Lepisosteus oculatus: one gene and its partners. The protein of the gene in region 3 purifies or fractionates together with the protein of the main gene of each other region. This does not show direct contact. Links are inferred from orthologs where the notes say so. Each region holds a gene or a part of one and is shown on either strand. Other genes may lie near its edges. The genes, in order: ube3d, fip1l1a and cpsf3.

What was found.
Region 1: the proteins of cpsf3 (region 3) and ube3d purify together in Homo sapiens (affinity purification with mass spectrometry; 4 studies listed by BioGRID and IntAct, counting the BioPlex papers as one, with this or other methods). This does not show direct contact. The link is inferred for Lepisosteus oculatus from reciprocal best matches to the Homo sapiens genes CPSF3 and UBE3D.
Region 2: the proteins of cpsf3 (region 3) and fip1l1a purify together in Homo sapiens (affinity purification with mass spectrometry; 5 studies listed by BioGRID and IntAct, with this or other methods). This does not show direct contact. The link is inferred for Lepisosteus oculatus from reciprocal best matches to the Homo sapiens genes CPSF3 and FIP1L1.

What each region holds. Positions count from the first base shown.
Region 1 is NC_090697.1:31,281,875-31,289,760, forward strand, and holds the start of ube3d (E3 ubiquitin-protein ligase E3D), read right to left. Parts: upstream 3,077-7,886; 5' UTR 2,989-3,076; coding exon 2,912-2,988; intron 1-2,911. UniProt on the Homo sapiens protein: E3 ubiquitin-protein ligase which accepts ubiquitin from specific E2 ubiquitin-conjugating enzymes, and transfers it to substrates, generally promoting their degradation by the proteasome.
Region 2 is NC_090696.1:78,304,877-78,311,800, reverse strand, and holds the start of fip1l1a (pre-mRNA 3'-end-processing factor FIP1), read right to left. Parts: upstream 3,084-6,924; 5' UTR 3,067-3,083; coding exon 3,065-3,066; exon of another isoform or gene 3,061-3,064; intron 2,325-3,060; coding exon 2,233-2,324; intron 1,708-2,232; coding exon 1,644-1,707; intron 791-1,643; coding exon 733-790; intron 160-732; coding exon 59-159; intron 1-58. Other genes in the region: scfd2 (sec1 family domain-containing protein 2), read left to right, coding at 3,275-4,088, 5,297-5,465.
Region 3 is NC_090697.1:12,017,272-12,024,634, forward strand, and holds the start of cpsf3 (cleavage and polyadenylation specificity factor subunit 3), read right to left. Parts: upstream 3,109-7,363; 5' UTR 3,003-3,108; coding exon 2,932-3,002; intron 1,960-2,931; coding exon 1,896-1,959; intron 1,770-1,895; coding exon 1,672-1,769; intron 997-1,671; coding exon 868-996; intron 421-867; coding exon 243-420; intron 1-242. UniProt on the Homo sapiens protein: Component of the cleavage and polyadenylation specificity factor (CPSF) complex that plays a key role in pre-mRNA 3'-end formation, recognizing the AAUAAA signal sequence and interacting with poly(A) polymerase and other factors to bring about cleavage and poly(A) addition.

The DNA of each region.
Region 1 (7,886 bases), about 19 Mb from region 3:
ACACACAGGGATCTCATCCTTTGATGTGATTAAGGCAGGAGTGAGACAGCTCTGTGATATGCTGGATACTGAAGGTACAGAAGGTGTAAAGTACATCAGATCACAAACGGCTTCCAAGCTGCAAAGGCCTTTAACATCATCTTTGGATCAGCACCCCTTACAAACGTTAGGAAGGAAATCCTCCATGTGCTTGCAAGAGTAAAAGAAGACTGATGTTATTACTGATCCAAGACAATGATACACAACTATCCAACTACAGGAGAGGGTGGATGGTGCTATACACATAACAATGTTAGGCCACAGCAACAGCCACAGGAAGCCAAAGAGCTTATGACATGCTGGACCACATTCAAATTACTCCCTTTATCACATCAGTTCAGCACTGGCTGTTTTTCAGCTCGACTGGTTTTAGGATGAATATCAAAAATACGCACCTGGCACTTTTCAAATAATGTGGTCCTTTACAGTATCAGCTCAGATTATCATCTCAGGCTCTCGGAAAGTTTTGGCTAGGACTAGGAAAGCAGGACTTACAATTAATGGAAAGATCATATGCTGGAAACATCTGAAGAGTAATACTTAGGTTACAGCTTTGACATCAACATTCCACTAGCACAGAGTCCACAAGGTTAATAACACTGGGGAACGCCTTCAAGCAGCCAGGAGAAAATCCTTTCTTGATTTGATAAATACCATTCATTCTAGTATCTACAAACTCTGAAGCAGCAGCAATGCTTGTTTGAACACTAGCAGCTGAGAATTAACGAGTGCAGCTGAAGAATCTGATTAGATGTGATCCTGTGCTATACAACATGACTTCACTCAGCCCTTTGGTATCTACTGTACGTGGACATGCCATGCGGATCTGGGGTACTGTCTGTGTGGAGTTGGTATTTTCAACCCATGTTTGCGTGGGTTTCCACCAGGTGCTCCATTTTCCCCTCAGAATCCACAGACGTACTGGTAGGGTTCAATGTTTTTTGGGAAAACTGGCCCTAGGTATAAGTGTGTGCAGTTATGTCTGCCCTGAAATGGACTGGTGCTCCATCCAGGGTGTTCCTCACCTTGAAAGCATTGCATGCCAAGCTCCAGCACCCCCGTGACCCTGAATTGGATGAAGCTGTTAAGGAAATGGATGGATAGAATGATAAATAAACCCACCTGGTTTCCAAAAAGTATAGGTGTCCCCAGCAGTACCACCGACATCAATGGATCCGGGGATGAAAAGGAGAAAGAAATTATACTCTTTTAAGAAGTGATGATTTAGTGAGGCTCTAAATATTAAGATACATACACATGCATATTTTTAAAACATGCAAAGAAACCAGATAAACATTAAATGCGTTCCAGAAAAAAAATCTCACACTGCCATCTGGTGGCAAAGAAAGGATCTGGACTCTTTACCTATATTATCCAGAGACGGTAATATAGGTATCCCCAGTAATTTTAATTACTAACCAAACAATAAATGATATTTTAGAACAGAGGAAATTATTGTTTATTTAAGTTGTATCTGAGTGGTTTTTTTTATAAATGAATTATGTATATGTAATTTTTGTCTTTCATAAATGTGTTTAATAGTTTCAGTGAATGCCCTCTTTGTCTTTTGACCCACTTCCTTAAGCACCTTGCAAGAAAATCGTGATTATCAACAGGTTGATAACGTTGCTTTCAAGTGCCATTTAGTATCATAAGGACTCAGGAGCATCATAATGTTTTCAGTGTTTCTGAAAAACATCTAACTCTTCAAACACCTAATTCTAAATGCAAAAAAATTACTTAAATTTCTTAAAGTTGATTTCTTATTTATTCACTTCATAATTCTTTTTTCTAATTTTTATGCTTATCACGTCCACTTTCACATAAGAGATAATAAGCACCACCACAAAAAGTATAAAAAGACATTCATATTTTCACACACAATGTCTTACCATACAAATCACAGCAATGGTTCCATTTCATTAATAGGAGCAAGACATGGACTATATGGACTAGTTGTAACATCATATACACCTTTTGTGAGACATGTCAGCAATTCCATCAAGTGGAGATTTACAGTGATGGGTCATAAGAGTTGTGACAAATTCAAAATTCATGAATAAGCAGTTTAAAGCCTTTTATATTTACATTTACACAACATTGCCAGACAGTTTGATATATAGTTTTCACATAATAGGGATTTGTAAGCACAAGCATATCATTGAAAAAGTCTCGTCACACTTAAAATGTCACGCGTGCTCTTTTAACAGATGGATCTAAGATGTGAATGAAGTTCTAACTTTGGAAACAAAAGTGAACATAAACATTTTCATAACTGTAACAATTATTTAACATGTCCTTCTTGTTTTCAACATTGAATTGGGGGTGTACCAGACTGACTTGTCTTTTTAACCACAAATACTGCCCAAAAACTTTTATGTTGACATACTTCTAGGTTATGAAGTTTCAGGATCTAGCAATTGTAGCCCCAATTTCTAAAAATAAATCTCACACTGATATTTTGCTTCGTTTCTGTTTGTCTCGGCTACTGACGATGCATGCATTCAAACACAAAGTAGCCAAACAAACGAATTAAATTGTCATTAACTTGTTTCATTATTCACTTGTTTAAAAAGTTTATCAATTGTGAAAGGATGCTAAATATAATCGTGAGTTTATTATCTGTTCTTATCTGAACTCTTATTTTCTTTTCATTTCTGATATTGCAAGTGTAAAGGTAACTAAAAATAGGCTGTATTCATTATATTTGAATCAAGTTAAAATCACCGAATATTAAAGAAAATCGAAACATCAAATGTAAAGTAATAGCTTTATCTGAAAACACGAGATGTAATACTTGAAACTGGAACCTAATTTATTACTTTCAATACAGCATGTAGCACACTAATAAAATATTGAAAAATGGATTAACCTTAAGACCAAAAGTCCGCTTTGCAGTCGTGTTCTCAACTCCAAAAAGAATCCACTCTGATTTTCTGTTTTATCCATTATTTATTTTGTTTTAATATGATGGTTTTTAAACAATCACAGTCTACCACAATCTTCACTTCACCGCACGTTTGGAATCATCAACAAACCCCTCATGAATCCGGAAGAAAATTGCCGCCAGGGTCAGAGGTTATGAAAGCCTAGAGCAAGCGGTAAAGAATTGTACAGCGACATCTGCGGTGAGTGTCTGTAACTGCTTCTCATGGCAGCAAACTGAAAAAAATCGATTTTGCTTCTTTATTGTAATTAAAATCTTTTTAAAGGAGAGGGAAAATAAAGTAAATTAATTCGAAGATATATATATATAATAAAAACACCACCTTTAAAATAACTTTATATACAATTTAAATCATATATACACAGAATTGACTGATTAAGAGTATAATTAAATATGGAGCAGGGTTCTCAAGCTCGATTCCTGTGTCAAGTTACACTGTTATATCATTGTCTTATATGTCCATCCATCAATTTTCTAACCTCTTCATCCCTTTCGGTGTCACGGTAGCCCGCAGCTATACTAGCAAGAAATGGACGCAGTCGATCATGGGTCACACAAAGACATGCACACACTCGCATCACACACCAATTTTCATAGAACCCAGTATACCTACTAATACGATCATGGAGAGGAAGTATAAACAGTGAATTAGTTAATTGCACCACCATTAACTATACATATTTACAGTTTTGAGAAAACTGAATTATATTGTTTTCTGCATGAATGGCTCCTAAAATGTGATCTGATCTTAGTCTAAGTCAGGATAATAAATACAGTCTTATTTACCAAACGACACAACATTTTACATTGCCATATCTTTATTGAACAAATGATTTAAACAATGTGTAGTAACTAGTGGAACCTTCTTTATTGGCAATAACCTCAACCAAAAGCTTTCTATAGCTGCTGATCAGGCCTGTGCAGCACTTAGGAGGTATTTTTGGCCCATTCCTCTATACAACACTGTTTTAGTTCATGTTTATTTTTGGGATGTCTTGCTTGAATGGCCTGCTTCAGATCACACCACAGCATTTAAATGGGATTGAGGTCAGGACTACAATTTGGCCATTCTAAAATACAAATTTCTTCTGTTTGAGCCACTCTGTTGTTGATTATGTCATTGTCATGTTGCATGACCCAACTTCTTTTGAGTTTTAGATCACAGACAGACACCCTGACATCCTGCTGTAGAATTTCCTGATACAACTTGGAATTCATTGGTCCCTCAATGATTGCAAGCTGTCCAGGCCCTGAGGCTGCAAAGCAGCCCCTCACCCTTATACTCTCTCCACCCTGCTTCATAGTTGGGATGAGGTTTTGGTGTTAATATGCACCAAACATAATACTGTGTACATTTACCAAAAAGAAAAACTTTTGTCTCATCTGTCCACAGAACATTGTTACAGTAGTGTTGTGGAACATCCAGGTGGTCTTAAGCAAACTTGAGACGGGCAGCAATGTTTTTTTTTTTGGAGAGCAGTGGTTTCCTCCATAATAACCTCCCATGAACACCACTCTTGTTCAGTGTTTTTCTTATGGTACACTCATGAACACAGAAATTATCAAGTGCAAGAGATGCCTGTAGATCCTTAGCCGTCACCCTAGGGTTCTTTGTCACTTGAAGATTATACGGCATGCCCTTGCACTAATCTTTGTAGGACTCCCACTCCTGGGGAGAGTACCAACAGTGGTGAATTTCTTCCAGTTGTAAACTATCTGCCCGACTGTGGACTGATGGAGGCCCAAGTCTTTAGAAATCCTTTTGTAACCCTTTCCAATCTTATGAGTTTTAACAACCCTTCTTCTGAGGTCCTCTGAAATCTCTTTCGATCTGGCCATGTTGCACTTCAACAAAATTCTGTCATAAAAAGCAAGTAACCCCTTGTGTGATTTTTTATATGGCAGGGCAAGTCAAACCCACACCTGAATCGATTGGAACACCTGACTCCAATTACCCTCTTTTCAAGATGTCATTATCCTAGAGATCCACCTACTTTTTCCATCAGTAGCCTTGATTGTTTAAACCATTGGTTCAATAAAGATATTACAATGTAAAATGTTGTGTGTAGCACCCTAAGAAGGCTCCACAGCTGAAACGTTGTGTTTTTCTTCTCTTTTCAGAATTGGAATAAACCTTTACTTGTTCCTTTGCATACTGACTATAGTTTCTAATCTAAATATAAACTTGTTTACAGACTAAAATAACCAAAATATTTCAAATGTATTTGCAGATCATATATTACGATGAGACTGCCAGCTTTCCTGTAAAGATACAGTAAATATTCGTTATTTAAGCTGCTTCACTTTACCACCAGATGGCATCCGGCTCACGCCACCTGCTGGCCGATCATGAAAGCAGCGGTTTCGATTTACGAAAAATAGAAACTAAAAGTGGAAAATTAAAAACAAAAGTTATGGGTGTGTGCGTCACATATAAATATGAATTAATTAACTGCTTGGTTGGAATATTTCTAAATAGTCTCGTGTGTGTTTTAGGTAAATGCAAGTTCAATTAACTAATATAAAACCTATAAATCCCGACTAATAAACTAATAAGAGTAACTGATCAGGTTGTCTTTTCGAAAGACATAAAGACACTGGGCCCCGCAGTGTATGATACGGATACCATATTACATTATTTGAAAAACACGAATTCATTGCAATTTAGACTTTTAGCAAGTGCTTTCAAGCAGTGTGAGAGAGTACAAGATCCCTTCAACTCTGAGTCTCCGAGGTTGGCAGACTCACCAACTGGAGTGGAGAGGGGGGACCAACTACTTCTCGTCATGCAGCACACAGCTTGTATACTATGTACAGTGTACATTTGGTGGAATATCATGTGAAGCATGATTTTCCATCTTGTATTTAAGTCCTAGCTTTTGTGATAGTGTTGCACTTCAGGAATGAAACGAAGTATCACTCTCTTTTAAATGAGGTTCACGCGGTTGGTTTAAAACGCAGCCTCGCTCGCGCCGATTGCTGGCCGTTAAGTAAATATGCAGTCGATCCACACATATTATTACCACCACCACCACCAATAATAATAATAATAATAATAATAATAATAATAATAATAATAATAATAATAATAATAATAATAATGGAACAGGTAAATTAAATTACTTAAATTTACAGTGATCCATTTATCACCATCGCTTTATTTAACTAGACCACTTATGGTAATACTTTAACAGGGAAGTCGCTATCAGTCTTCTTGTTACTTTGACAAACGCTGAGTGTTACATGTTCACAACTACAGTACTCGGATCGGTCGCGATCGGTGCGGAACCTTTCAGCAGGGGTGCGCGCAGAGTCGGGAGCCGTGAGTGCGGACCACGAGCCGCAGTGCTGTCTGGGAGCTGTCAGCTGGACTTGGGCTTTGTGTGTCATAGTCATAGATCTGCAGTCGGGGCAGAGAGGAAATCAGGGATGAGCTGCCCGGGCGTCCTGTGGCATGTTTACGACATTCTGCTGACCCGGAATGATGTAGGATACCCACACGTTTTACTGGATTACGTAGTTTCTTTTCTGCTCTAGTACCAGCGTTTTTCCGAGTGACAAGGGCCCTATATTTCTTGAATTGCTGTTATTCAGTGTTAAGTCCCTGCCCTAGCGTAGACAACCTTGTTTTTCTTTCATATATTTATTGGGTGGTTCATAACCTACAGACGGTAAGCACACTTTATATCGGCATACATATTTAAATGACGTTTTTTTGTACATCTTTTTAACTGAAACTGATTGTATGAGAGCACGACTTTTTTTTTAGACAAGATTGCTTCTTGGTGAAGATGCTGTGACATGACAGTTACAGATCTATTATGATGAAAAGATCCCTAAAATAAAGGCGACATCCATTTTTCTTGCGATCTGTAACTAAAATGTGTTAGTATATAAATCCAGCTGTTTCCGTTTTTAACACAAACACGTTTTCCTTTTAGCTATGGATGCCTTAATACAGAAAAGAGCATTCTTATTCATCTATAATAATCATATATTGACCATTTTGTGTCGCAGGCCGAATCGAAATACGAGTACCGTGCTTCTAGTTTATTGTCATCGACATCTGGTGATACAAATGCAGGAGTAAAAGCAAAGACTTCCTTCAAGTGCCGGAATCATTGAGTGGCTCTGTTACAGTGCTTTAGAATATTATGCTCAAAGCTTTGGTCCAGGAAAGAAGAATAGTAGGAATTCTTTATTTTCTTCGACAAATATATATATATAGTTATGCATTTGAGCATATATTTCATTTTAAAATATTTTTTTTTCTTGCGAAGTAGGATGCCCTTTGAATATGTATCACTGTTTGAACTGCAGTACTTTTACCACTACTGGTATTTCCACAGCTCTGTATGATACGCTTTTTCATGTGCTGTCATCCTCAATTCCTTTAAGGGAACATTGTTACCTGGACAGCTACATGCTAACGACTTCTTTGGCTTATGTACCAATGGGCACATCAGTCATTCTGAAAACTGAAACATGATTCATTGAACTCTGCAGTCTTTTGTCATTTATTGAAAATCGGCCCAAGACTTGTGTGTTGTACACCACAAATGCTGACGATAGGATTTGGAGAAATGCACCAATCCAAGTGCATAGGAAGTGATACTAATTTCAGTTCTCGGTGCTTTGGAGGAAAGTACTGATGTTTTGTTTTCAACGGTAGGAACTGTAATGATATACGTTCAAACATCCCTGAGTTAATGATGTTAAGTTAACACGTTCTTGTACAGGTGAATAGTCCCTTTGAACTTTAGGAATGTTCAAGACAGAAGTTAAGGAGCCCACAGTTATATGATGTATTGCCCCAAACAATAAGTAGCACATGAGAATGGAGACAAATAGGATTCACGTGCACATACATGAAGCAAATGTAGATTGTGACTTGAATAGT
Region 2 (6,924 bases), on a different chromosome or scaffold from region 3:
ATTATTTAATTTGAAGCTTTATAGTGGCTTTACTAAGTGCAACCTTAACAATACTCACGCGTACTGAGGAGCCCCGGTCTTAATATCTCCAATCGTGACACGAACATCGTCGTCGTCGTCATCGCTGTCACTGTCGCTGTCATCGTCTTCGGCCGTGTCCTGGGACCACAGTGTGAATGAGCTCTTGAGAAGCGCCCAGGAGCAGTGGGCGGAGCTACGTGACACAAGGCCACTTTCTGGGCTGAGCGACAGCCCTCTAGTACAGAAAACAACCCCAGAACAACCATGTGGCGCCCGCCCATCGAGTACAGCCACAGGTGGAAAGAGAAAGTGAAAGGCAAACCCTAGCATGCTCAGTCTGTTTACTGAAAGACACGGGTCACCGGCATGACGATATTAATGCAGAATTTAATTTCACTGTTCATATCAGTACATCAATTTGCTATGCTTTCTTGCCAGCACTTTGTATTTGCTTCGGTCTGCTACTGCTCAGCATTAACAACGTGTATGATTGTAGGAGTCAGCTGTACACAGATCCTGCTTTCTCAGCACAGCGACAACCCACACGGTCTTGCTAAAGCACAATCCATGATCTCACAGTTAAACAAGAACAGCGCCTAATGACAATACGCGCAAAAGAACATTTTATGCTGCCTGACAGCTCAACATGTTGTGCTCGGGCCACCGCTACCCCTGGCAATGCCAGGGGAAGCCGAGCGACGGGAGTGTTACCTGCTTGGCTACTCCGTTTCCAGTGGCTTCCTCTTCTGCTGCGGGGGGAGGGAACGTGCTGTGAAAACAAGCCGACACGAGGGTTAGCAAACGCAAGGACAGAGCGCCGGGCGCACTGATCATCGCCAGCAGGGAGAGTGAAGACAGTGCCTCCTGCCACAGCAGCTCAGCCCCGCTGCCTAGATGCTAAATGAACCCCACAATCAGGCGGGAAGCGTTTTCTGCCCTCCATCGTTAAAATGTCATTGAGTTTTAACACTGCATGGCAGGAGCGGACTGTGAATTTCAATAATATGGGTTCAATGAGTCAACCCTCGATGGCTTCTCACTAACAGGACATGCACAACACAGATGAATGACTGCTCTGAAACACGTCAGTGCCCACGTCTAGCTCTGGAAGCTTTATTCCTCATTCCAGTGAGTGAAGCTGGTGTTGCATCTTATTTAATGGCGTTGATGTCCACTACTCTGATTTGCCTCGTGTTAAAAATTCATGGTCATTGGAAACCAGATATATTATTTAGTTCTAATGAATTCTTTTCAAATCACCACCATGCATTCCCTTGCACAAACTAATATCTACTGATTCCACTGCAGGATTTTAAAGAGGACTACCGTGCCTCTTCATGCTTTGCCTGAGATGATACACAATGTGTATGCGCTGGATAAGACAGTCGATCTGTTTAACGCAACAATGCCTCGCGATTATTTTATGTCTTGTCACCCTGTGACAAGAGCGAAAGGCAGAACTGCCTCGTTTCCAAAAACAACTGAGCTCTTTTTAGCACTTCCCTCCTTCTGAAAAGATCTAAACGCGATGAGGCGCCGGGTGCGTGTGATCGTGATGAACACAACAGGCAGGTGCGCTCCCCATGCGCAGGGCGTGCAGACACCAGAGCAGACTCGCTCACCTGGTCGCCGCCGCCGCCTTCGCCGCCGCCTCATCCTCCTCCTCCGGCTTGTTGTCGTTCTCATCTGTCAGGAGACACAACGTCATTCAGGCGAGAACATGCCCGTTACATCGGCTGCGAGCCTCACAACCGCGCAAGTGTCATCGCAAGACGACGGCAACACGGACACACACGCAAAAAAAACAACAAGAACAGATTCTGACAGCAAATAAAACGGCTGAGTGAAACACTCGAAAAGCATCGATCTGCACTGACCACGGAACGCACCGCCCAGCGATGCCTCTGTTTCCTGCAGCTAAGTAAGCGAAATGCATTAACAGAATGAAAAACTTAAAACGGCGTTAGTTTATTTTCTGAAATTATCACTTAGGTCTTAAGACTTCTAAATTTAAAAAAAAAACCTTGCTTTCAGAAAACTCGTTGGGAACTACTCTGGCCAGAAGAAGCACAGGCCGCGATCACACGCAAAACTCTCCAGCAACCTGCCGGGAACTCCTCACCGGCATCGGCACCAGTCTCCCAGGCCCAGGAAATCCTCCTCCCCACTGCCGTGTTCCCCAGAATTGTGACACACTAATGAAAGCCCTACCTCCGTAAAGCCATTCCTCCTCCTCGTCTCCCGCACTGGCATCAGTCACTGCCGTCTTCTCTGCCTCTTCCGTAGACATGTTGTTTCCAAACCTGCAAGATGTTTCATAAAAACACTCCTAACACAGCTTTGGGTGAATTTGACCGCTGAAGTTTCTTCCTTCGCACAGACAGCAGGGCTCCTGGAGAATTTAGTTAGACTCGGTGCCGTTTAACCCATTGGGAAATGCTGAACTCGCAGGGTAACAGCCCAACACGTTTCTACAACAATAGCCCTTTCGCCCCTCACCCGGAAGCAGACAGAACCCGCTCCTACTGACCCGGGAAGTGCTTCTCCATTGGTCCAGCACGTCGTTGGGCAACAGGTCCGACTTTCAGTCAGAACCGAGCATTAGCAGTTTCAAGCAAAAATAGTTACATCTGGCTTCCTCCCCCAATATTGTCTTATATATTGTCTTGTCTACTAACACCCAGACTACGCTACGGAGGGTTATGAGACAATATAAATTCATACTGTCTTAAATGTACAGAACTGAACACAGGCTAAGTACTTTTTACGTGTTAAGAACCACATCTGAGGCCTCTGTCCTCTTCACAAATATTGGTTAATAATACACTTTAAGCCCCAGTCTGAACTTTAGTGCTGTATTACCAACAGTGGGAAATACAGGCAGTCCCTTCAAGTTGTTCCGATTTATAGAAAAAAAGAGGGCGTGTCTTATGTTTAATATAAAAAGCTGAAGTTCTGAAAACTGGACATCCCTTACTGTATTGATTAGACGCGGATATAATTAAACAATTTAAAGAGCAGACATGTTCTTCTACCTACCTACATGCTATTCTTGAAAAACAGGCACCGCGTATGCGCTTTCCTCTTACGTAATATTTACGCGACGTGAAAATGCCACGTCACCTTTGAGAGACACATGCATGTGTATTGTCGAGCGACTGGGAAGATTGTAGTTCTCAGACATTACCTTTCTTTAAATCTCTATTCTTGTACCTTTTTCCTTAGAAGAAAACAATCAGAGCGTTTGTAAATAATGGCATCCTCACCGGGGCTGGTAACCTTTCCGAGACAGGCGTGGGATAGTGTGCTGTCAAAGGTAAAGAAAGCGGTTGTTTTCATGGATGACAGGTGTTGCGAGAGCCTGCACTGGTGTGGAGGGACCGAGATGCTGCTCGCAGCCGGAGCCTGTAACGTCAAGCAGTTCTCTAGCTTTGAAGCTGGCAGCGCGAACGAGCCCAAAGCCGTCTTTGTCGTGAGCACGCTGCTGAAGGGCAGGACAGCGGACACCATCAGGGACATCATCGGCCTCAGCTCCTTCCAGTACTGCGTCGTGTTCACCGCTGTCGCACACTCCGTACACCTCCAAGCCAGCAGCGCCAGCCCGGAGGCGGAGGGGCGTCCCGCTTTCGAGCAGTTCGAGGACAGGCTGTGCGAGTGGATGGGAGACATGAATTACACGGCGGAGGTGATGCACGCCCCGCTGGTGTTCGCCCCCGTGTCGCCTCACCTGCTGGTGGCCCCCGCCTGCGGGGGGCTGTTCCCCCTGCTGTCCCGGGACCTCGAGCTGATCAACAGGGCCCGCCCGGACAAGAAGAAGCTCGCCAGCCTCGCAGACGCTGACATGCACTCCCTGCCCCCGGAGCTGCGGGTTCAGATCCGGACCCTGGTATCCGGGCTCAGCTCCATGTTTGACTGTCTCAACACACGGGAGGAGTGCTTCGCGGTGGGCCCCACGAGTCGCCTGATAGCCGGGGAGCTTGCCAACCACCCTCAGGCGAAGAACAGGAGGAAAGCGGCCCCAAACAAAGCGTCGATAGTGTTCATTGACAGGACGCTCGATTTGGCAGGTAAGGCGCACCGACAGCACAAGCAGAAACGCCCCCAACACGCAGCAAATGCACACGCAGAAAAGCGCGCAGCAGGGAAAGATTGCTCTGAAATCCCTCGTCCAGACGCAGCCAGAGTCCAGCGCATCTGCTTTGAATGATGTGCTGCAGAAACAGCAAGGTAATGTCAGCTCCCCCTTCTGAGCCCTGCAGTCTATGAGGCACGCCGGGAGTCCGTAGTGCAGGAACGGTGTTATTCTTGTCTCGTGTTATTAAATGTCTGCCATTACTTACTTAACCTCTGTAGGCTAATGTTCAAAGAGAAGTATTGTGTGAACAAAGCACCCTAAAGTTTCCTGTAGATGAAAGAAGACCTCTTTGTTTCAGTCGCTGTCAACAAAGAAATGTGTTCCCTTCCACATGTACAAAATAATGTGAGGTCTGGCTCTTTTCACATTTACTTCTGTGACTGTTGAGTGGCTTCCAGAGTAATGAAAGCTCATGTCCATTCAGTCACTTACTAGATCAGGGGCCAGCAGGAGTTTCATGAAACAGGGACATTTCTGACACGGAGACTCTGAAACGCAAACCAGACCATGGCATCGAATAAAGAATCATGATAATGCCTGGAACTGCACACATATGGTGATGTTTTTACCGGGGCCAGAACCATTGCAATATTATTCAAGTTGCACACTAGCATAAAATACTGTGCTTCTTTTTTTATGACATTTTTTCAGATTGTTTTGGTTACCAGCGCTTTTGTAAGCACTGGAAGAGAAGGGTGTTTAGATTTGGCCCCTGTGGTCAAGTGGCATCATCATCATCATCTTGACATTGAGGTCTTGGATTTCTCATTCTGACAATGCTGATGTCTTTCAGCTTTCAGTTTTGTTGGAATGTTTCTAATTTCAAGACAATTAGTGTAGCCTTCAGTGAAAAAAGGAAAGCGCTTTTACAAATTGATTAAAAAAGTTACTGCTTTACACAAAGGGTTGTGGGAGTATGCAGCAAGTGTCCCAGCTGGTACCCTGGCTTCCTTCAAGACACGGCTGGCTGAGATCCTCGAATTGGGTCGAATTGCCTCCTCACTTACAGCCTTCCTCGTGCTCCTCGGAGCATGTTTCATCTGTGCCCTGATCTCTGATCATCGTGGGGGGGGGTCAGTCGACGGGGCGTTGTGGGGACCAGGATTGTGGTTCCTGATTTTGCGTTTGGCCTTATTCCAGGAGCCGTCGGGCACCATGGCGACAGTCTGGTGGAGAAGATCCTCTCGGCTCTGCCGGAGCTGCCGGGCCACCGGAACGACGTGCTGGTGGACATGCTGGAGCTGACGGCCCTGCAGGGGACCGCGGAGTCCCAGGGCATCATCGCACCAGGGTGCCTGGCGCAGCCAAAGTAAGGGCCTCTCCCCTCTCGGGGCCGTCGAGTGCGCTCGCCGCAGAGCCTGCATGAGTTTTTGAGCTTGAAAACGCGTCACGAAAAAGATCATATCCGGGGACCAACTAGCTGACTGTGATGTTTTGAAAAGCTCTATGGGTTTTTCAGTAACCTCATTGCCATCATTTTAATGAGACTTTGGTGTGGATAGTTTTTAAATGTAGTTCCTGAGTATTTTTCCTCAAGACGCTCTATAGAAGTCAGTTGAACTCTGTGGTCAAGTTAATTTCCATGGATTTAACATCCACGTGCAGGACTGCAGTGATGAGACCAAGACTTGTTTTCTTTTGGTCCTTCTTTCGTTCAGAAAGACATGATGCAACTTTTGTTTTTCCTTCAATGTGTCCCCGTGGGTTTGGCTTCTGCAGCATCTGAGCCAGGAAAAGGTGCCACTTTGGAGCAAAGGCTGGGCTCTTTTATCCGGAGATCGAGGTTCGAGTTTGACTTGAGTCATTTGCTGACTGGGACTGTGACACTCCAAACAGGGGTGCAGAGCTGCTCGAGAGTGAGTCCTGTAGCTTTCCAAAGTCTGTGCGAGCTTGCAGTGTTGTCTTTGCCATGGACACAGTCAGACACTCAGCTCTGGGCAGGAGTGCATGTTGCAGATACAGCATATGTGTTATCCTGGTCAATCTTGTGCTATAATAAGGGAGGTAGTAGCAAGTTCATGTGATTCCGAATGCAGAGGTAATAAACATGGCCAATTGAAATTATAAGAACAGGAATGAATGATCTTTAGTCACTCTTTCTCTTCTAGATGACATTTTCTGCCTGTTTCAGTCATCTCGCCCAATATGGATCGTTAAAATCCTCTTCCTTTCTGCTCCACTGCGCTGACCTTAAACATTTTCTGAACTAAAGCGAAATACAAGAACTTTCCCCTTTGAACTCTTTAACTGGTCATGGCAGTCCCTGTGAGCATGGTCGTGGTTTAGGTTAACTGTCGTCCGCTGTTGTATTGTCTTCGAGTGCGAAGCTCTGAAACTCCTGATGTTTATTTTCTCTAAGATGCCTGAGGCAGACAGGGCAGCGGAGCCCATCACTGCTGTGCTAGTTTGCTCAGTTTCTTTATTTTAACAACATGCAGTGCTTGTTGACTCATTTTTTCATATCCTACTTTCTTTTAAGAAAGCAGGAAATTTGACATCCCAATCACTTAGAATAAAAGCTTACATTTAATTAAACTTGCACCTTATAGCAGGAAATTGAAGTGGTAAATCTGCGCCAGTGCTTATGGTTTGGATTAATAATCATAATAATAACAGTGCCATTTTTTCATTCGACGTTTACCTTGGCTCACCAGAAAATCAGAAATCCCACGGAGATAGCTTGAAGTGTTCACGTTATAAAAACATATCTTCAGTTATTCCTTCATGTTTTGTTTATGATTTTGTCTGTTTTTATTGGAGTTAATTAT
Region 3 (7,363 bases):
AAGCCAGTGCCTTAACAGAACAAACAAAGGCCAAAGACAAAGTTCCACGACATTACAGAAAACTAAGTCTATCATATTACTAGACTGAAGAAAAATGCAGGATATCTTAATGTTTAAAAACACATATCTACTCTAGCAGAACTACAGCTTTTCTGTGTTTAGGGCTCAGGAGCAAAAATACAATCTCGTCCGCACCGAACAGCTCCAGTTAAAGAGCAGTGTAGCGTAGGGCAAAGTCCCACCTTCACACCAGCGATTTCAATCATGAACATGGCCGCCCCCAGAACATGGCCCGCGTGGTAGCACCAGAACTTGATGCCTGCGACCTCCTTCACTTCGTGGAAGTTGATCGTCTCTATCTTGTCCATGCTCTCCTCCAGATCTGTCTCTGTGTACAGCATGTCATCCGCTGAAATGTTGCTATGGTCAAAGAGAACAGGCAGGGAGTGTTTAAACAGAAACAGCAATCGGACATTTAAAGGATACTTGAAGTGATCTTGAGGTAATTAAGTCACACTGCATTGTTTTTGCAGATGTTCCCTTTGATCTTATATTTCTGTGGCACATAAACATCAATCTTGGCAAAAAGGTCAATTTTTGACTTTGGAAAAGCAGCTTTCTGGTCACCCTACTGCATAGCAGGAAAGGAAAGAAGTCACATACAGGATGAACGAGATGAAGGAAAAATATACAAGGATGACAGACATCTAACACTACATCTAACAATATCTCGCACGTGGATCCATCCAAGTCTAACAATGAATTATTGGTATAAACTCTGATAACACATTGTACGTTTTTCAATCCACATACAGTAATATGCTGAGGTTTCCTGTCATAAGAAGAAAAACAAAAACAATCACCCACCTGACTTTAACATAATCTGACAGCAGCCACCTGTAAATGGCTTTTGTGGCGTGAGTCATGAATGTCCTCCCCTTAAAGCTGGTCTTCTGCAGGAACCAGGGCAAAGCGCCACAGTGATCCAGGTGGAAACTACCAGACACAATATGCATGTTTCAATAACGAACTGGCACACGTCTTAATTCAATAAGGGCACGTCTCTTTGGGCAGAAGGATGACTGTCAGTTCTTGTCCTGGAGCTCCCCTGTGTTATCATGTTTTCACTTCAGCAAAGCCTTTAACCACCCAAGACCCGCTGATGGCATCTGTAAATGAAATTCTTGCTTGGTCCGACTTTTTTAACCTTCTTCTATGCTCATTCTTCAGTTTTAAAAATACTCTTCTGCAGATCTTTTACAAAAAAAAAACAGCAGACAGAGTGCTGTCCCCTCTCTTCCCCTTGCATATTCAGAGGCAGCAACCTATTAAGTGTTTATGCAAATCTAAAAAGCCCTTATTATTAGATGCCTAATTCAAGGTGTCAACAACACTGTGTTGAGGGGAACAACACTGTATCAGACCATCCCAACAAGTTTTGCTCTTTCCATAAAACAAGAGAAAATATCTGTGCAATATTTGCACCTCTGTGTTCTGCCCAAGTTGAACTGTTTACATTCGACACTGGAACTGAAATGGGCTTGAAACCCAGGAAGTGGCTGTTCCTAGGAATTAGCCTGACCGATTAAAGGAAGGCAAGGACTGGCTAAAAGACAAAGGGGTGCTCTGGGGCCAGGGCTGAGGGCGACCGGAGCGGCTGGTGGTACAAACTGGCTGATCAGGAGGAGGTCAATCTCCGCGGGGTCTATCAAGTCGATGTAGGGGAGCGCGTCCATGCCCTCCAGGCCTGGGTGGATACCACAGTCCAGCTGGGGAAAGAGAGACAGCGCATGGCACCTCTTCTCCAGGTGTCACCCACCCGCCACAGAACTGTGACACCGAGTGTCTGCCCCACCCCGCAGGGGGAGCCTGAGACAGAGCAGGCAGTGTCCTACCATGATCTTCCTTCCCTTGAACTCCAAGATGATGCATGATCTTCCCACTTCCTGTCCGGCGCCACTGAGGGGACCATGAAAAACAGAACACCCTTCTTTAATTCGAGACTCGAGAGGAGGAACTGCATGAAGCAAGTGCAGAGCCTTCCTTTTTTTCCAATTTCCAAACCTGCACAATGTACACTCAAAGAATGCACCGCATTTACAAAACGAACAATTTTAGGGAATTCAAAAGTAAAAAGCAGCTTAGCATGAAAAAAACAATAACAGCTTTAAAAGTCCCCCAATAGATAATGTTCACAAAGTTCAAACGTGCGTTCTCTTTTTCAAGAAATCTAAGTAAGGAACCTAGGATTTGTTGCACCAGAGAAACATTGTAAAATGAAGCTTTCTTAATCTCTTGGTTAAGTCTGCACACCCTATTTATTGAGAATCTGTCTTTTTAAAACTATTAAAATGATATACATCTGGAAAATAGATTTTGGAACCACATATGCAACAGAAAACTGAGTTGTACTGGTCCAAGCAAATACCTTATAATACTAAGACTAATGAACTTTACTGATGTGAACATCAGTCTGGTTTCCTTTGCGTCTACATTTATTTTAGACTACTAAATAAATGAATAAAACTGTAAGAGACCTAAGAACTCTCTGTTGAGATTCCTGTATAGATAAACCCCCAATGTATAATGAAATGTATCCGAACTGTTTTTGTTCCCAATCATCAAGAGTACATAAGGGTCTTTGTGATGTTTAGAAAACTTGTATCAATCAATTACATACAATTACACGTTGTATTACGTACAAAATATACATAAATGAAAATCAACACAAAAATAATTTCGAGTAGCCGACAATGTAGTATGCGTTCGTCTGCACCAAATTAATAGTTTCCGTGGGAAATACTCTTACACAACTGGACATACTACTTTCTATACCGGTGCACTGCTCCTTACTGAATCTCCCGCGACACATTACACAGGCACTCATGGCTGTTCACTGTAACCCACAAACGCAAACCACAGCACACTTACAGGGGTCTAATTAATAACTGATCGCTTTCCTCCGCTGGTACCAAAATATCGGCTTTTCGCTTCGCAGCCATTAAACAACCAGTTCTATTTCATAAGTCATGAAACAATGTTAACAGCAAAAACTTGGAGCACCACTCTGCCTCATAATCACTTGCGCGAAACAGGACAACTTCCGGTTCTGCGTGCAAAATACGTCCCTACTGAAACTATCCCTATCGATCTTTGGTTCCGACATCATTGTTACTAACGGAATACACGCAGTGAGTCTGTGTGTACCTACTGCATAAAAACTCTAGAGAGTATAGTTCTTCATTACTACAGTTTAGACTTTTCGAGTATCACTAAGTATTTCAATAAACCGCAAAATATTCCTTGAAACATATTTTTCTATCTGGGACATAGAATCCAACGGTGATGGGTGTATTCACATCAAAATGTACATATGTCCTCTCCTTACTCAACGCTCTCTGTTAAAGTAACCTTTTTATTTAAGTACTACTAATACTTAAACGTGATGTGTTCTGAAAACTCGAAGAACAGAATTTCAATAAGCCAGCTTTCAGTGAAGCATCAGCAGTTTTAATGAAAAGATTTCAGCTGCAATTGCAGGGTGGCAGGGTGATGCAGTGGTTAGGATTTCCGCATCCAGGGTGTATCCTGCCCTGCTCCCGTTACATGGCTGGCTGTAGAGAAGACCAACACGATACATTCTGGGAATGTCCTACACTGACAGACTGAAAGACCTGCACCTTTTTATTCTTAAATGGACGAAATTCTGAGAGGCCCTGATACAAGTATCCCAGCTTCTCGAAGGCTTCAACAAAGTCAACCCAGCAGATTTCTTCAGAATGAGCAGTGAAACATGAACCAGGGGACACAAGTAGAAACTACATGGAGGTGCATTTAAAACTGAGAACATGAGGCATAACTTTACGCAAAGAGTTGTGGGAGTCTGGAACAAACTACCCAGCCATGTTGTAGAAGCCACACACTAAATCATCTGGAATCTAGATCAAGTTGCTACTAACTACCAAACAAGCTAAATGGACTGAATGATCTCCCCTCATTTGTAATCTTTCTTATGTTAGACAACTAGTTGGTAATATATCAGTATTCAATCCTGCTAACAATAACACGCTGATACACACAGACAACAACATATAGTAGAAGCTTAAACTTATCTTAAACGAATTTCAATTTGTAAACAAAATTAAAACTATGAATCTGTCATTATCCGTTTAAACGCCAGAAAATAAAAAATGGAAAGGCTGCAAATCAATTTCCTTGAATTCAAAGTGGTATTAGGCGCTCTGTGTTGTTGATTTTACAGATAGCTATTAAGTAATCCAAAAATCTGGGTAGATGGGAATTCTGAAGACCTGGAGCAGTTTAATTGTGATCACTTGCAGGCGGGATGTTAAAGTCAGGGCAGGAATGGGCCATGAAGGTCACTGTTGCTTCCTCACAAACGTTTGGACCCTGGGCTAGATCTGGTCTGGGTCACCTTATTGGGGGGAGTATGCATGTTCTCACAGCGTCCACCCAGCGGGCCTGGGTTCGATCCCAGACCTGGGGTGCTGTCTGTGCAGAGCGTAGTAGTAGGTTAATTGGCTCCTGGGGAAATTAGCCCTGGTGTGAGCGTATGTGCTCTGCTGTCGTACCCTGCCTTACGCCCTACACGCCCCGCGACCCTCAGTTGGATAAAGCGGTGATTTAAAGTGTGACGCGATTCCCGCGAGTTTGTAGTAGCGGGAACACGCACTGAGAGACAGTGACGTGAATCAGGACCTGCGCCTCACGCCATCATCTCTGGAGCTACTGTAAATGCCGTGCTAATTGTTCCGGCCTCGCTGTCCACCCTGTAATTCATCGGCCGTGCCAAAGAATAAAGCGCTCTTAGTTTCAATTTGAGAGCCTCGGGTTTGGACTCGTCCGTCTTACAACAAGCAACGAAGCGCGCCCTTCCAATTGTGACCGTCGCCATGGAGACATAAACACACTTCCTGCTGTCTGGCGTTTGCGCCACACGACGCCGGGAATAGGAATGGGGTTTCACCACACAAACACAGCGCCGTGACGACCCGCGATTCGGGCCCGGTTCGCCGGGGGGGTTGTGTGGGTCGCGTCTCCTTTAAGCGGTGTGGGTGGAGCCCAAAGGAAGTGACGTGTCTGCCCGAGCCTCGCCAAAAACACAGACCCGGAGACTACAAGCCTGGCCGAAATAACGCCCAGCCCCGTCGCGAACGGGCTCGTTAAACACGTATAAAACGAGGTATGAGTTGAACAGCTGCTTGAATTATCTCATCAGTCCGACCTGCCAGTTTTCTGATTTACGGTGAAGGGCTGTGCGGTTAAAAGGTGATTGGAAAGAAATGTCAATGAAACGAGGATGCGATGAGGGGGTTGTGGGTGGGGTGGAGAGTTTAGCCTGGCAACGGGTTTCCGTTACTTCAGCTGGGAGTTTTTTTAATTAACGATCTGAGGACGGTGGGTTGAAATTCTCAGTGAGCTCGACTCTCAGATGCCCGCTGTGTGTCATTCACCTGCTGTGCGTTTCTCACGCCGCGCTGGCTTCAAAGTTACATTGTAGGCAAGTTGTGCGAAAGTGGACTTGGCAGGGAGAGCGGTAGGATTATTTATGTCAGCCCGATTGTGAGGCTGTACAAAATTGCATCCCACTCAGTATGGCTCTTGTTACTTAAAGTGCTTCAGTTTGATGTTTGGGACCGTTTGTTCTAGTTTTCTTTCTCGTATCGGCAAGCTCAGCGGGAAGATCGAGACAGATGAGTGCACCTATATCATTGTCCCGAACTTCTTTTTCTTTTCTCTCTCACAAAGACTGTTTTAAAAGCCTGTCAGATGCAACAGGAAAAAAAACTCGGCCTCACGCCTTTGCAGTTCAGAAATGTTAAGCGAATTCACACGAGTCAAACCTCCGAGCAGAGGAAACCGGAGAGTGACAGATGGAGACCGCAAAGCCTCAGGAGACCGTACAGACAGCTGCTGTAGGATTGTCAGTCGGGTCGTAGTGGCTGTAACCCCTGCAGAGACAGTAATAGGCAGTATGTTAATGGTTGAAGAACATGTAGAGACATTCCAGCATAGGAAACAGGAAATTCAAACGGCATCCGCATGCAGTAGGAGCTGTTTTCATTGAGAGGCAGGACAAGTCTTGCGTATTGCCTCTAAATGGAAGACAAGTGGTGGTGTGAACAGTTGACTGTTACAATCGACTTTTTGCAAAGAGTCAGGATGAATTAGGAAAAAAAACTCAAAATAGTCTACACTATTATTACATTTCTAAAAAATGCTGTGAGTGTTCCCTAGGGACTGTTAAGCAGGTATTTCAGCTGTCAGGTGATTCGTGCTCAAATGTGAGTGGATGAGTTTTAAATTGGAAGCAGTGTGATAAACCATTACGTCCGACAGCGTCGGTTTATTCTTTATTTACTGTCTGGCAGCCCTAGTAGGATGTTCATTTTCGCAGAACCTAGCAGACATATGAGCTCTCAACGGAGACACATTTTTAGACTGTGTTTGTGTGCAGGTGCTCCTAGCCCTCCACAACCTTCAAATCCTTCCAGAGAGGCTGGGCAGTCTACACCTGGTGCTCAATAGCAGAGACAGTGAGACAGACCAGGAGCCCTTTTCTAGTTTCTACAGTGCGCCTTTGACCACAGACTGACTAGGGCAGACATCATACTCTAAGGGCCATTTGGTTTTTATTCCATCCGAGCTCTCAGTTATTTAGTGGGGCTAATTATTTAATTATCTTGCATAATGGTAATACTTCTGATATTGTAACTGTACTTGAATAAAGTGAATATTTTCATTAATCAACTGCAACAGATTTTATCAAAGAAAAACATATTCCCACATAGTAACGGGGACACTTTGCTGTAAAAAAGGTGCTGTCCTTCAGATGAGACGTAAAACCGAGGTCCTGACTCTGTGTGCATTGAAAATCCCAGGCTGTTTCTCGAAAAGAGTAGGGGTGTTACCCCAGCGTCCTGGCCAGATTTCCCCCTGGCCTTTACCAGTCATGGCCTCCTAATAATCCCCATCCATGAACTGGCTTCGTCACTCTGCTCTCCTCCCCACTGAGAGCTGGTGTGTGGGGAGTGTTCTGGCGCACTATGGCTGCCGTCGCATCATCCAGGTGGGGCTGCACACTGGTGGTGGTGGAGGGGAGTCCCCATTACCTGTAAAGCGCTTTGAGTGGGGTGTCCAGAAAAGCCTTATATCAGTGTAAAGTATTAGTATTATTATTACCAGTTTTTATTATTATAACTGTCTTTGGACTGTGGGAGGAAACCAAAGCACCAGTCAGAAACGAGGACAAACACAGGAAGAATATACAAAATCCACACAGAGAACTCCCCAGGCAACTATGCTGCCCAAAACCTCCCAGGTCCAGGTACTCCAGGTCATG